Linked DNA regions of Drosophila melanogaster. The protein of the gene in region 1 interacts with the protein of each later gene in a biochemical or structural test. Each region holds a gene or a part of one and is shown on either strand. Other genes may lie near its edges. The genes, in order: DIP-gamma and dpr16.

Region 1 (6,853 bases):
AAACAGTTCTCCCTTTGCGGTGTCATTTGCAATTATGTGGCCAGGCCATGCATGGCAGTTTGATGAGCTCCCAGCTGGAGAAGACTTTAACTGCAGCCAATGTGCATTAACTGGGAGATAAAAGACTTTCTATGTATCCAAGAATCCCCGCAAGCCTTTGGACCGGCTAATGGAAAAGTGCATTGGAGGATTGGACTTGCTACTGATTCATTAGACGATTACTCGATTACTGGCAACGGACTCCAATATTTATTAAAGCCAGCCCCGGAGTGTGACTGCAAAATTAACTCAATTTCCACTTCCTTTGTTCTGGAGTTTTTGTGAAACTGAGATGATTTTCACTTCGGCATTTTTCCATTTGGCCAAGACAAACACGACACGAAATAGTAGGGAAAAGCAGCCAGAAATATGAGAAATATGAAAATTGAGAATGCAAACACAATTTGAATGCTCGAAGCAAGAGCGAATCGAGCTGAAAATTGATGAATTTTCATCTACAATGCTGAGACTAGAAGGCAAAGGCAAAAGCAGCTCCCACTCTGCAGGCTGGTGAATTTAATTAGTTAAGGATGGGCATAAACAAAAATTCAATTCCCCGGATATCCCCAAGAAATCGGTGCTCGACAGCAAATTAATTATACGCCACTTGTATTTAATTAGTTTATTGAATGGCCAGCCAGCACTTTGCAATCAATTCGAATATTTTCATGTGGCTGCAGATGCAGCTGCGATAAATGTGGCAGTCAACACTTCAGACTTGAATTTGTCGGACTTGGGTCGGCACCCGTTTCCTTGCTTCGCTCTTCGGTCCTTCTAACAAGCTCCCGAATCTGATTCTGGTTGTGATTCTGATTTTGTTCCTGGTCTGCTCTGGTCCTGGTCCTGGCCATTCAAACGTGCAATCTGAAATCGAAAAATCAAAACCCAAAACAAATTCAATGTCCCGAACGTGTGTCTGTCCGTGTCCGTGTCCTTTGCTCCGTCTGTGTGGGCTTGGGATGGGGCCACTCAGCAGGAGCAGTGGCAGGATAACGAATGGAGCCAGGCACAATGGGTAGAAAAGTGCAGTTTGCGGTTGAAAACCGGATATTTTCTTTTCGCCCTCGCTGGCAGGTGAACGCAGCAGCAGCAACAGAAGCAGCAGCCTGACAAAAACAGCTCGAAGGACGAACGGCTGCAGACGAAGACATGGCTCTCAGGATCAGACGGAAGCCGTTTGAGGCGAGGAAATGGAGAATAGTTCTTTTGGCCCGGCCTAAGCATTAGCACAGCACCAGATCAGCCAGATACCCCAGTAACCAGTGTGCAGTAACCAGATACCCAGATGCCCAGATACACAGATACTCAGATACGAGCATAAACGTTATTAATTAACATTCTGCCTGGCTGTCCCTAACAGATCCCGCCTAGATTTGTCCTGCAAAAGTTAATTGAATATCAAGCTAAAAGCGGCTGAAGAAGATCAGGAAAATCAGTGAAAACCCAGCTGAATGCGATGAGATTATTAAACGTCCCATCCGCTTTTCCCTCTTTGCAGTAACGAAGAGCTAACGACATAAACATCAACCGGCAGCCAATTAATGACAGCGAGCTACAGCGTTTATCGTTTCACTTACAAGCCAATACAGCGGAAAAACCCCTACATTTTCCACCCATACCATCGCCCTGTTAGCCACCTGTGAGTGTGGCCCAAAGGGCAGACAATGAAAATCAACTAAGCAATTGGCAACTAAACGAGACACCAGGATCCAGCTCTCCAAGCCGCTGCAGCAACAAAATGGGCCAAGAAAGCGCAGCTGGCTACTGTTTCCAATTAGTTGGCCATGACTGTGGCAAAAGTGTTGGGAAAACGGAGAGGGTGAGAGGAGTGCCGAGGCACACATGCACTGGCTGCAAAATGAAAATGAGAAACTGAAGAAAACAGAGAAATGGAAACTGAATTATTGCTCAGGACGAAACAGAAGTGGGGGGAAAATAAGGGGCCACGGCGCTTGACTCTAACATAAATGTAATGCTTTTATTAGTTATCGATACCAACACATACATACCCCTGGGTGTAAGCTAGTACACTGAGCAAAATGTCCAAGTTTTTACAAAATACAATTTTTTTTATAGGAATAATGATGAACGCTATTATTAAAAGAATATTTTCAAATAAAATGAATGTAATATTTAAACTGAAATACCTTGCATATGAGATAATAAATGAAATGCCTTTTTTAGTAAAAAATTTTAAATAAAGGTTTTCATATAAATTTGTATACTTTTACATTGTTTTTTCAAAGTTCCTTCATGTGTAAGAGCAAGAAAGATATGAAAAGAGTATAAGCGTGTCCCGCGAGGGGTGGTGATCTAAGGGGGCGGGATTGCGACTCCGGGGAAGACAGCGCTGGTATCCGGCGCCAAAGATTTACCAAACATCCGCTGGAAAATACCCCACTACGATTGCGACTGTGACTCCGGCAGCTGTTGTTGTTAGCCAAGTTCGTTGTTGGCAAACGCGATTGCAGCAAATCAGAAAATACTCGCACAAGTGCGAATGTGAATATTGATGCCACGGCGTAGGTATGTTTGACTTATAATATATGTATAGACATACATATGTGTGTGTGTATGGAGCTGAATGTGTGTTTAGTTGGCATTGCAAAACACAAACACAAAACTTCCATTCTGGTCGTGCTCCGCGAGTCGACTTTAGCCAGCCACTTGGCGCTACTTCGCCCACTTCAGCGCCACTCCACCCACTCAGCGCGCCCATCCACACACACACACAGAGGCACACCCACACACACACACACACACACACCCAGACATGGCCACAGAGCGCTCCTTGCTCGCTTACTTGCTACTTCCGCTTCCGAATCCGTTTTGTGTGCTGTCGCCGCAGAAATTTAACGAAGTCACACGTCGCCAATGCCAGTTCCTCTCGCTCTCTCGCCAAAAAAGCTCTGCGAGCCAGCATCCGAAGCATCCGCGTCATCGTGCCGCTCGTCGGCATCCTTCGTGCGTCCAGCCGTTTCGGCTCCAGATGGCAGCATCCTTTTTCATGCTGGCTCAGTTGCGAATTCAGTTTCGGAGCGTTCGGTGGTGGAGAGCAGCTGCATTTGTGCATTTCGCATCGAACATTCATCGTGATCCCAAGCGCACGAAGTTGTTGTTTTGTTTTGGTTTTTGTCGCCAAATTTCGCGGGATTTTTTCGTGAACGTGTGTGTGCGCGTGCATTTATTTCGCACACTGTCGACGGGGCAATACCAGGATCTGTCGCCTGTCTTCGCCTCAGACTTCTCCTCCGGATCCTGCGGAGCGGAGCGTACGTATTTGTGGCTTCAACTCCGTGTGTCGTATGTGCCCGTGTATGCCTCTGTGTGTCTGTGTGTGTGGCGTACCGGCATACCGTCTTTGTTGTTGGCCACCATTGTAATTGCAGTCAGTGTGGCACTGGCAACGCGGCGTATACTTGACATCTTCGCCGCCAAATTGTGCGATTTCTTCGACTCGTTCAGCTCTCGCGCTGGCTCCTTGAATGCGGCTCCTTGTGACATTGGCGTGAAGACGTGAAGAGCCCTCAAAATCCGCTATTCCACTGTGTTCGCAATCCATTTGCCTGCTGCCCTGGACGGGCAAACAAATTTTTGCAATTCAATTTCTATTGTGCATTGCCGATGCGAAATGTGCGCATCGTTTGCTGTCAATGCCAAGTATTCCGCATAAAAATTGAAAATTGCATGCAAATTAAATAAATAGAGTTCCGGTGAGGAGCTGAGCTGAGCTGCGAGTACCAGCTGAGATAGACACTCAAGAACCCATCCTATTCTACATACTCATCGCACATACGTACATATGCGAGTATCCTTGCGAAAATGACAGTTGTGAGTTGTGGCTCAGATTTGGATTCGCATGCGGGGCGCAATCAAAGCAAACGTCATTAGCACTCGCGACATCGCCTTCGATTGACAGCGGGAGTTGGAGCAGCGGCAGGAGCAGAAGGAGGTGCCAGATCCTGCGGCAGGATTCAGCAGCCAGGAGCAGGCACGAACAACTTTACATTTGCATAACTTCGGTGCAGCTCCAGCGTTCAGATTCCGATTCACAGGTACGAGAAAAACTCCTTACCAAAGTCGATTTCCGTTTCAGCAACCCCTTCAGACCGCCCGCCCGCACCGCATCGCTTTGCAACTTTGCTATCATTTCTATTTTCCTGTTTCTGTTTTTCATACCCGATATCTGTATCCCCACCAACATTTTGCGCCCAGCGCCCAGAAAGGGTAAAATCGGAGAATATTCAGCTCGTGCCATGGAGTTGGGCTGTGGCAAATCCATTGTGGTGCACTCCCGAGGTGGCTTGGATTCGCGAGCTCAGGGCCGTGGATTTACCTTTTGGGTGGTCCTGGGAGGTTCTGGCTGGTCCTGATGGCGATTAAGGAACAAACTCAGTTCGCTTAGCAGCATTTAAGCCCTCTCAGTTTTTTAGGTCAGCTCAGTCGCTCTTGATTTAATGATCCAATAAGGAGCTTCTAGGATGTTCAAATTGAAACCTGTTGGAGTGAATCAAGTTTATCCGGGGCAGCAATTAGAATGATATCCTAATGTCATTTCGAATGGTCGGGAAATGCTTTTAACATTTTTTTAAGCAATTGCAAAATGTAATATTCATAAGGTACTTGGAGTACTAATTAAGTACCAATTAATTGAAAATTGCAAAATAAAAATGGCACCAATGTTTAAATCCAACTATATCTTATAACAATTTTAGTTAGGCAAAAGAAGTTTGCTTTAAAAATTAAAATTTAACGATATTTTAAGACCTGAAGACAAGAACTTTCGCACAGCTGAAAAACTCAGTTTAATGACACTGCCAAATAAAACTACTAGTCATTTCCAGAAAGTCTTGTTAGCATTTGATGTAAATTGCAAGGAATAGTTTTAATTCTTGACCCGATTTCGGAAAAAATCGTTGGTTGCTTTACTAGTTTGGTAACTCTGTAGTAGTAGTATTTTTTCAATAATTTTCTATAATTTATTTTACACACTATCACTAAAATGAGGGCACCTGCGCGTCCAGAGCTCGTGACAATAGCATCTCCGATTTGTTTTAGCTTTGCCAGCTCTGCTCTTTGGTTTAGTATCAACTTTACGGCTGTTTCAGCTCCGGATTTCTTGCCCACTCCACTTCGGCTCCATCATGGCCACGTTATCCAACTTTTAGTTATGGCTTTCGCTTTTCGCATAATGTCAGTTTTATTTGGTTTTGGTTTTCACTGACGGGGCGTGCGCGCACTGGGTGGCAGTGGGTCTGCCCAGGAGGAGCAGGGACGTAGAGAATGGAGGCCAAAGTCCCGTCTCAGATCCATGCCAATGCCCAGGATTCAGGATCCAGGACTCAGGACCTGAGGCCTCCGGCCCCTTGCCCGGCCATTCGGCACCCTTGCAAGATTTATTGTGCCTCATACACTCGTACACACGTACACATAACACCTTCTGCCGGGGACCTTCGTCCTCCGTCCTCCCTGGATCCCTTTTGGGTCCTTCTCAGCCGCGCCTTGGGTTTCACATTCAGCTCCATCTCGTTCTTCATACATCTGCAGTCCCATAATCTCTACTATTTGCATCGCAGACTTTGCTTTGGATTTTCCTATGGCAATGGATTTAGTTATGGTTTTTCTTACTCTCCGGCTTTCCGCTTCCAGCCCTGCCATCGCCCAACGCCCCTCTCTCTTCCTCCTGCTGTCCATCCGTCTCCTCTCCGGTTGCGCTTTTTTACTTCACACACACACACACACACACACTTATACAGATTTTCCCGGCAGTCGGACGTTTGTTTTTCCTCTGCCGTTCCGCACACACACTGAGCAAAAAAGGTTTGCCTAGTTATGGCTCAGAAAGAGAGAGGTAATAGTTGAGTTGTCTGGGGCAGGGGTAGCAAGAAGAAGGACGAAAGTCCTGCGGCAAACCGCAGCAAGCGTCCCAGTTGTTGGCCAAGGGCGTCCAGGAATGCGTCTAATGAATAACCATCGTAATCCATGCTGAAGCCGAGGCGATATGGAAATATGTAAGACAGATTAGCTGATTGTTAGTCCGCGATGGGAATGCTATGTAGGGGGGGGGGGTTTCTTTACTCGCTTCAGTTTTGATAAGTTATTTTAATTGATTAGTATTTCACCTCGGAAGTATTTACTTAAATTTCATTACGTGCAGCTGCCGTTTGCTAAAATCACTTGAGCTTAAATTTCATTGCGCTTGCACAATACGATTTGTGAATGTGAGCTTTAAAATGCCTTTGGGCTGCCATTTATCAACGATTTATTGTCGACTTAATAAATTAATTTGGTTCAAGGCTGGGAGGAAAATCTTTCACTTAACCTTGCCAGCATCCGAATTCCAATAATTTCCCAATCCCCAATCCTTTGTTATCGGATCCCCGCACTTTAAATTCCCAGTGACTCCCACTTTTCAGGCTAATGAAATTTGTGGAATTTATTCCTTACTTCTGACTTCATTATCATGTGAGTGCACACAAATGTATGTATAGTATAGTATGCGCCAGGGCAATCCATAAAATTTGATCCCTGATCCATTCATTCCCGACTCGCACGCATGCCACCGTGGCCTTTACGTTCTGCGAATCCTATCGCAACCCATCACTGAAATGGCCACCGCAATAGCTCCTTCAGTCCTCCTCCAGGCTTCTTCATTTTTGCCCGGTGTAGTCGTAACTCGTTCGCTCAGATTTGGGGCTCCTTGAGGAAGCCTCGCACATGCGAAAGCTCACACACACACACTCTCTCGCACGCGGGTTGGGGGAGGACTAACAGGATATCCCATAAAACGGAAATGGCATTATCCTCGCACATA
Region 2 (7,152 bases), about 24 Mb from region 1:
AAAGTTCTCCAGGGCGTTCCTGTAAGCGATTTTCCCGCGGACGCGAAAGCCAACGGGATCAAGCGATTCGGACTAGTTGCTAGTTGCACAATTGGTTGCCTAACGGCGGGTATTCAGATGTTTCATAACATCGATTTGGGGTGTTAAAGTGCTAACGGCCCTATGATTGGCCTCGAAGTTGGAATCTGACTACAATTACTTCCTTGAAAACAAAACAAATTTATTTGGAAGCATGAAAAGCATAAGTCAAAAACGCATGATCAGATAGCTATCTATTAAATGCTCTTATTATTATTATATTATAAAACTTATACAATGTTTTTACTTATTTATTTCTAAGTACTTAATAGATGTTTCATCCTAGAACAAAATTCACCCAAAACTTTCCACAAAATCCGTGCGTAGAAGTGTAGCCCGGAATGTCGTGTCGGCATCACCCCAAGTAAAAGAAGTTTACACTTACGCGCTCGCATGCCACGAAAGCTGACAGCTGCCAGAAACGCCAGCAGTATGCTGGCAGTTCCCGGACTCCTCCCGCTCCCGGCCAGGATGCCTGCCCCTCGTCCACCTGGAGTTCCTCCTGCGCCGCGCTCCCTCTGCCGCCAGGACATTCCGCTGGGCGAGGGCATCGGCAACTGTCGGATGTCGCACCTGGGCGGAACGGAGCTGGGATTGGTTTGGGATTAACGTTCAGATTTCGTATTTGGTTTGGTGCTTGGTATTTCGTATTTCGTATTTCGTATTTATTTCGCACAGCTAGTTAATCCAAGTTTCGCCGACTCAAGTAGCATGTCATGCTGCTGCGTGCTGTTTGCTCCGCGTTGTTATTTAATTATTTGCATTGCTTTTATGAAGTCTTCTCGGTTGAATTTGCATACCGCACTGTGCCGGAGGAGCAGTAGTTGTGGTGGTGCGGACGTGACTGGGCTGCTCCGCCAGTTGGCCAGGATTTCTTCTATTCCACCGAGTCAGACCGCACAGAACGTATGTTTTAACTTATTTCTTGCTTTATTTGGCAGGCCAACCGCAGCAGCCAGGCTAGAACGGCAAAAAGGAAAAAAAAAAAACAAAATATAAGTCTGGTCCGAGGAGCGTGGAGAGCAGCAAGGAGAAAACCAGCAGGATTCACTGCTGTTAGCATTCTATTTATGTGATAAATGGATATTTATCCGGCTCTGGCTCTGGGCGTAAGTTTCGGCCTGGCTTGATTATAAGTCAATAAATTAATGAATTGCATGACCCCAGCCCAGTGCTCTTCCCTTTGCGCCCTCCATTAGTTCTAGTTCCTCCACTTCTGCTGAGTTTGGCAAATTTTTAATGGCTTGCTCGTTATTTTTTGTTGGCCAAATAGTCGTTTGGCCCACAAAACTGTGTCGACTCCTCTAAATGAATGCCAGAGCCCCATTTATCCGGCTCAGAGTTTCCCGAGCTGCCGAATCGAAGTCCCCAAATTGCAAAAAATGGGAACTCCTAATGCATTATTGCACTCCATAACACGGCCAGATTAGAAGGATGTCCTGCGATGCTTGCCATCGTGTAATTAGGGTAGCTAAGCAACAAATTGATATTTATTTTTCTACCAAGTCCCATTAACTTGCGAGATTTCCCTAATTCACCAACGGACAGACGGAGATTAGGGGCAAATGCAAGTAATCATGTTGGCGAACAGCAATACTTTTCTACTGAAATAACTTTATTTATTCATTTCACATATATATTTGGCTGCACACAATGATGGTTTATAGTTTAGCGGACAAAAAATCATAATGCTTTCGAAGAGGATTGAGTATGTATAAATCACAATATATTCCACGGGATAGAAATGAAATATATGAGCAGTGGGCAAGATTACTCAACCAATAATTCTAACGGAGGTGCACAGGCTAAGCTGAGTGGTGAACTATGCGAAATCTTTTAGATACATTTAATGCAAAGCTGCTTAGGAAACTATCTGCAAAATATATTTACAGCTGCTAGGTTAAACGTCGGGATCCTTTCTCAATTTCCCCACCGCTTCCTGGGAATAACTATGGCACTTTATCCGCTTATGCTTCGGTTTCTTTTTGTTTTTGCTAGGCTAATTGAAGTGCAATTGGGGCGTTAAAAATCCTTCAGAAAATATAAATATAATTTGAACAAATTTCTTTGCATGTGTAAGTAAATAAATTTGTTTAAATAATTAAACTTGCCACCGTGTGCCAAATTTTAAGCTGCTTTTTCGACCGAACTGAGATACTAAGCCATTTATTTACTCAATGAAACACAACAATACAAATTTATAGACTGTGCAATATTCTCTACCCACCAAAACATAAGTTAAAAAAAATATACTATCACAAGCCACAAATTCCAAACCTAAAGATTGAAGGCCGTTTATAAATTCTTTATTTTGTGGTTTTTTAATCCGAAATAATACGAGGATATTGATGACTTTCTGAAATACTGAGGCACCTGGCTCTCCCACTTCTTTGCACTTGTCATTCAAACTGTACTAAAACTGTCTTTATTTGAAGTAAAGTGTTCTCTTCTTTCACACACTTGATATCTGAATTTCTAGAGAAATGCCTGAGAATTGTTGATATTTCACCTCGTGATACTTGATACTATTGCCGAATTTCTGCGCGCTGGCAAGCACAAAATCCTTTTCGCGTTTTCAATGTTTTTTTTCAGTTTTTTTGGAACAGCTATCCAGTTTCTTGGCCAATACTGGCACCTGTTTCAACACCTCGACGACTATTGATTTGCCAGCAGCCTGGCTGACTCCACCCATACAGCTCTGGTTTTCCACCTTCTGCCTGCCCGTCTAATGATACCAAAGATGCGAGGACTAACGTCTTTGCACATTAATGAGTTTTTAAATCCATGAAGCAGCACGATTCCAGGGTGGGGCTCAGCTTAGCCAGCCTCTAATCAGATTACATTTCCATATATTACATCATATGCTCTTCAATATAATCAAATTGAAATAGATGGGGGCAGACAATAGCACGTGCCAGCCTCAGAGGGAAGGGGTGGGACCCCGGCCAGGTCACATCTTTCACTCCATTCACATCAGTCAAATCCTTCACGTCGTCCTCCGTTCTTTTCATTTCCCACGCTTCGTTGGTAGTCGACGACGCCGACGACGCAATCAACGTTTGACGGCGTTTGACTTTCGATCTTGCCTGGCTGCCTCCTTGTGGCCCTGCCTTTGTATCTGTATCTGTATCCGTTCTAATGCGCAGCAATTTAAAATGTGATTTTCCTTGATTTACAAAAGACACATTGCACTCACAATCGTAGCTCACAGGATTTCACAGCACTCTTGCGGAAATCGAGGGCGGGCATTCTCGCACTTCACTTCGCGACACTTTACTCTGTGGCGCGGCGGGGGCGGAGGCGGACACGCCCACATTCTGGTTGGCACAGATACGCACAATGAAAGACCGGCCGGCGATAAATCAGAATCCGTTCGAGAATCCGATTTTGGGTGCGGAGGTGCCAAGTGCATTCACTTTCGAGACCCACAATCGCGCGCCGCGAATAATTCAAACGTATGCTTCCTTATTAATGATTTCCGAAATTTGCGCTTTGTTCCCGCTCTACGTCCGCCGCTATGCCATGCAAATTTGAAACTGAATCCGGACCATTTCGCGATTCGATTCAAAGTGTGCCTGTGCCAAATGGTTTGGTCCATTTTATCCACTGGGATGATTTACCCCTCCTGATTCGTTCGTACCGTCCCGCAAGGTCCCGATTACCAGTGTTCCCATGTTCCCCTTCTGTTGCCACGACGAAGGACAATGTGGGAATGGGAATAGGTCCGTTTCAACTGGGGTGATTTTCCCCTCCTGATTCTGATTCACAGCGTTTCGTTCTTCGCGATTCGTTCGTTCCGATTTACAGTGTATTCCATCTTCCCCTGTGCACCTATTCCCACATGTCTACTGTTGCTTGCTTGGAGTTCCCCATGCAAGGACGATGTGCGAGTTTGGTCGCTGTTCTCAGTCTACTGTTAAGGGATTCTGTTAACCGTTTCGAATCAACAGGCAGTTAAAACCAGTATTTACTGGCTTTTACTCACGAACAGAGGCTTGTGGCCACAATAAATAATATAAACTCATAAAAAAATAAATAAAATAAAAAATAAATAAATAAATATTTAAATATATAAAAAAATAAGTAAATAAATAAATAAAAAAGTAAATAAAAAGTAAATAAATAAATAAATAAGTAAATAAATGAACAAATAAATAAAATAATTAATTTAATAAAAAATAATTAAATAAATAAATATAAAAAAATAAAATAAAATAATAAATAAATAAATAAATAATATAATAAAAAAAGTAAAAGTAATAAAATAATAAAATAAAAAAATAATAAAATAGTAAAATAGTAAAATAGTAAAATAGTAAAATAGTAAAATAGTAAAATAGTAAAATAATAAAATAATAAAATAATAAAATACAAAATTATAAAATAATAAATAAATAAAGAAACACATAAATTAATAAATAAATAAATATGTAAATAAATTAATGAATAATTCACATAAAATAGGAAATAAATAAATAAATAAATAAATAAATGAATAAATAAATAAATAAATAAATAAATAAATAAATAAATAAATAAATAAATAAATAAATAAATAAATAAATAAATAAATAAATAAATAAATAAATAAATAAATAAATAAATAAATAAATAAATAAATAAATAAATAAATAAATAAATAAATAAATAAATAAATAAATAAATAAATAAATAAATAAATAAATAAATAAATAAATAAATAAATAAATAAATAAATAAATAAATAAATAAATAAATAAATAAATAAATAAATAAATAAATAAATAAATAAATAAATAAATAAATAAATAAATAAATAAATAAATAAATAAATAAATAAATAAATAAATAAATAAATAAATAAATAAATAAATAAATAAATAAATAAATAAATAAATAAATAAATAAATAAATAAATAAATAAATAAATAAATAAATAAATAAATAAATAAATAAATAAGTAAATAAATAAATAAATAAATAAACTCAAAAAAATTGGTTGTATATTAATGTATACGATACATTTTAATACATTACATTTAATAGATTTTTATTGAAAACTCAATGCTTGCAAATCCACATTTTTCTTCACAAATAAACAAAGATGTAGGGAATATATTTGTTTGATATCATTGACCGTGTTATATAGAACAATCCTTTGTGCATCACCGAAACTTAATGATTCTTGACAAGCTTTTAGATTCGCTCGTAAAATTTATCAAGTGAAATATTGTTGTATATTATGTATGCTTTTTCTACTTGACATTTGTAGAGTTAAAGGGTATACTAAATTCGTTGAAAATTAATCGCTCCTAGTATGCGTTTTCGACCCAAAAAAGATTATATATTCTCGATCAGATTTTTGGTTGGTGAATTAATTAATATTTTTCAATAAAAGAATTGAGCTATGCCGAAAACTGAATAACCTTCTTTGAGTATTAACAAGTACTCAATTTTTTCCATTTTATTCTCGCCCTATACGTGGCGCAATCGTTTTGCCTAGTAACCTTAAACTGATATTCGTCGAGCAATCTCGGGCTGGCTTCTTCCGATTCCTTTGCATATTAAATTCGCATTTATTTCCGCAATTCCGCAACTCGATTGTATTGCCGGCCTGAACAAACAAAGCCATATCTTCGCCTCTTGGGCCGCAGTTATTATGTTTCGTAGTGTCGGTGGGCGAAAGGTAATAAGAAACAAGTAACGACCAAATAATTGAGTGCACGCTGCACAAAGGATCGTCGCGTTGCGATGGGAAGGATATTTTTGTGATACGTCCTGCCCCGCCCCTGGGATCCCACCGTTCGCCATTGTTTGCCAACGGTTGGGTTGAAAGTGAAATGCATGTTTTATTGGCATCACAAAACAAAGGCTGAAATGGCAGACGGAGAAACTTAAGCCAACAAAGAGGTTTTGCATACCTTCACAAAGGGTATTGCCAATCCAGTAATCCAGTATGTCCTCTAGATCGAATGTTTTTCGAGCCACTAAGAAGCACATTACGTAAGCTGAAAAGCTAGCGGGCAATTTAATTTAGCAAAGCATTATTAATTTTTTTTTTGCAACTCTGAGGGCACTGTGCATGGGATCCAAAAATTATAATTTAAGATTCTGAAGCAGTAACCAAAAATTATTTATATATAGTCGACGAACATATGCAGATTTGCGTAAGATCAGGACGTTCATATGTTCTCATCAGAGAGAAGAATTTCTGTTATTTCTGATATTCATCTTGGTGATCTGATTGATTGAAATAAATCCAGAAATCATGGTGCGCAGTTAAAAGGAAAGCGTATTTTGCGCAGGCAACAATCATGAAGTTTTGCCAAAGCGATTTTCATATTACAAGGTAGATACAATGACTCAATGGATGCTCAACCGAGGCGGCAGCAGGAGCCATTAAAAAATAAAGCCCCAAGAGGGGGGAAATTGAAAGGAGCAACTGTTGTGCTGAAGCTGCAGCTCAGCTCCTTCTGCAAACCCCTGATGATATATGCACTATATGTCTGGATCATGTTCTGTTTGATTGTCGGCTGCTTACGCCAAGTCAGTGACTCACTTCGCAACGACCCGCGCCGTCATTAAAAGCACTTTAAATAGGTCGCGTTGCACGCTGCGTATACGCAATGTTCTGAGCCATTGCCTTTTATGATGAGCCATATGAGCGAGTCGATCCCCCCGCGCGCCTGTCGCACCTGGCCAGTTAAGCCAGGCAAATGGCAGTGCATTTCCGTTTAATTTAAACAATTGGAGCCGTGCAATTGCCATAACTTTTGATGAGGCTGCTGCAGAATTTTGCATGCAAATTTAATTAAAACTCCTGACTTTGCTCGCAGTTTATCAGCAGCACAAGGCCGAAGTTCGTAGAAACTTTCGTAAATTCCATATTTACTTAAAAATGCCTATCCATGATTGCTTGACACAACAAAGGAGGCACATTGCGAATTCTGCTCTTGACCCTAAAGGATGGCAGGCGAGGCAATCATACGAAATATATTTTTGCAGGTAATAATGAAAAATATCTCTTACAAATGGCCAACGTTTGGGAAACTGAGAGTTTTTACTCCCTAAAAAGGCTTAAAGCTGGACTGGATG

What was found.
Region 2: the proteins of DIP-gamma (region 1) and dpr16 form a complex in vitro, tested with the Drosophila melanogaster proteins (one study listed by BioGRID).

Annotation. Positions count from the first base shown.
Region 1 is NT_033777.3:28,966,572-28,973,424, reverse strand, and holds the start of DIP-gamma (Dpr-interacting protein gamma), read left to right. Parts: upstream 1-3,052; 5' UTR 3,053-4,094; intron 4,095-6,853.
Region 2 is NT_033777.3:5,147,409-5,154,560, reverse strand, and holds the start of dpr16 (defective proboscis extension response 16), read right to left. Parts: upstream 3,654-7,152; 5' UTR 3,275-3,653; intron 1,039-3,274; 5' UTR 630-1,038; coding exon 464-629; intron 1-463.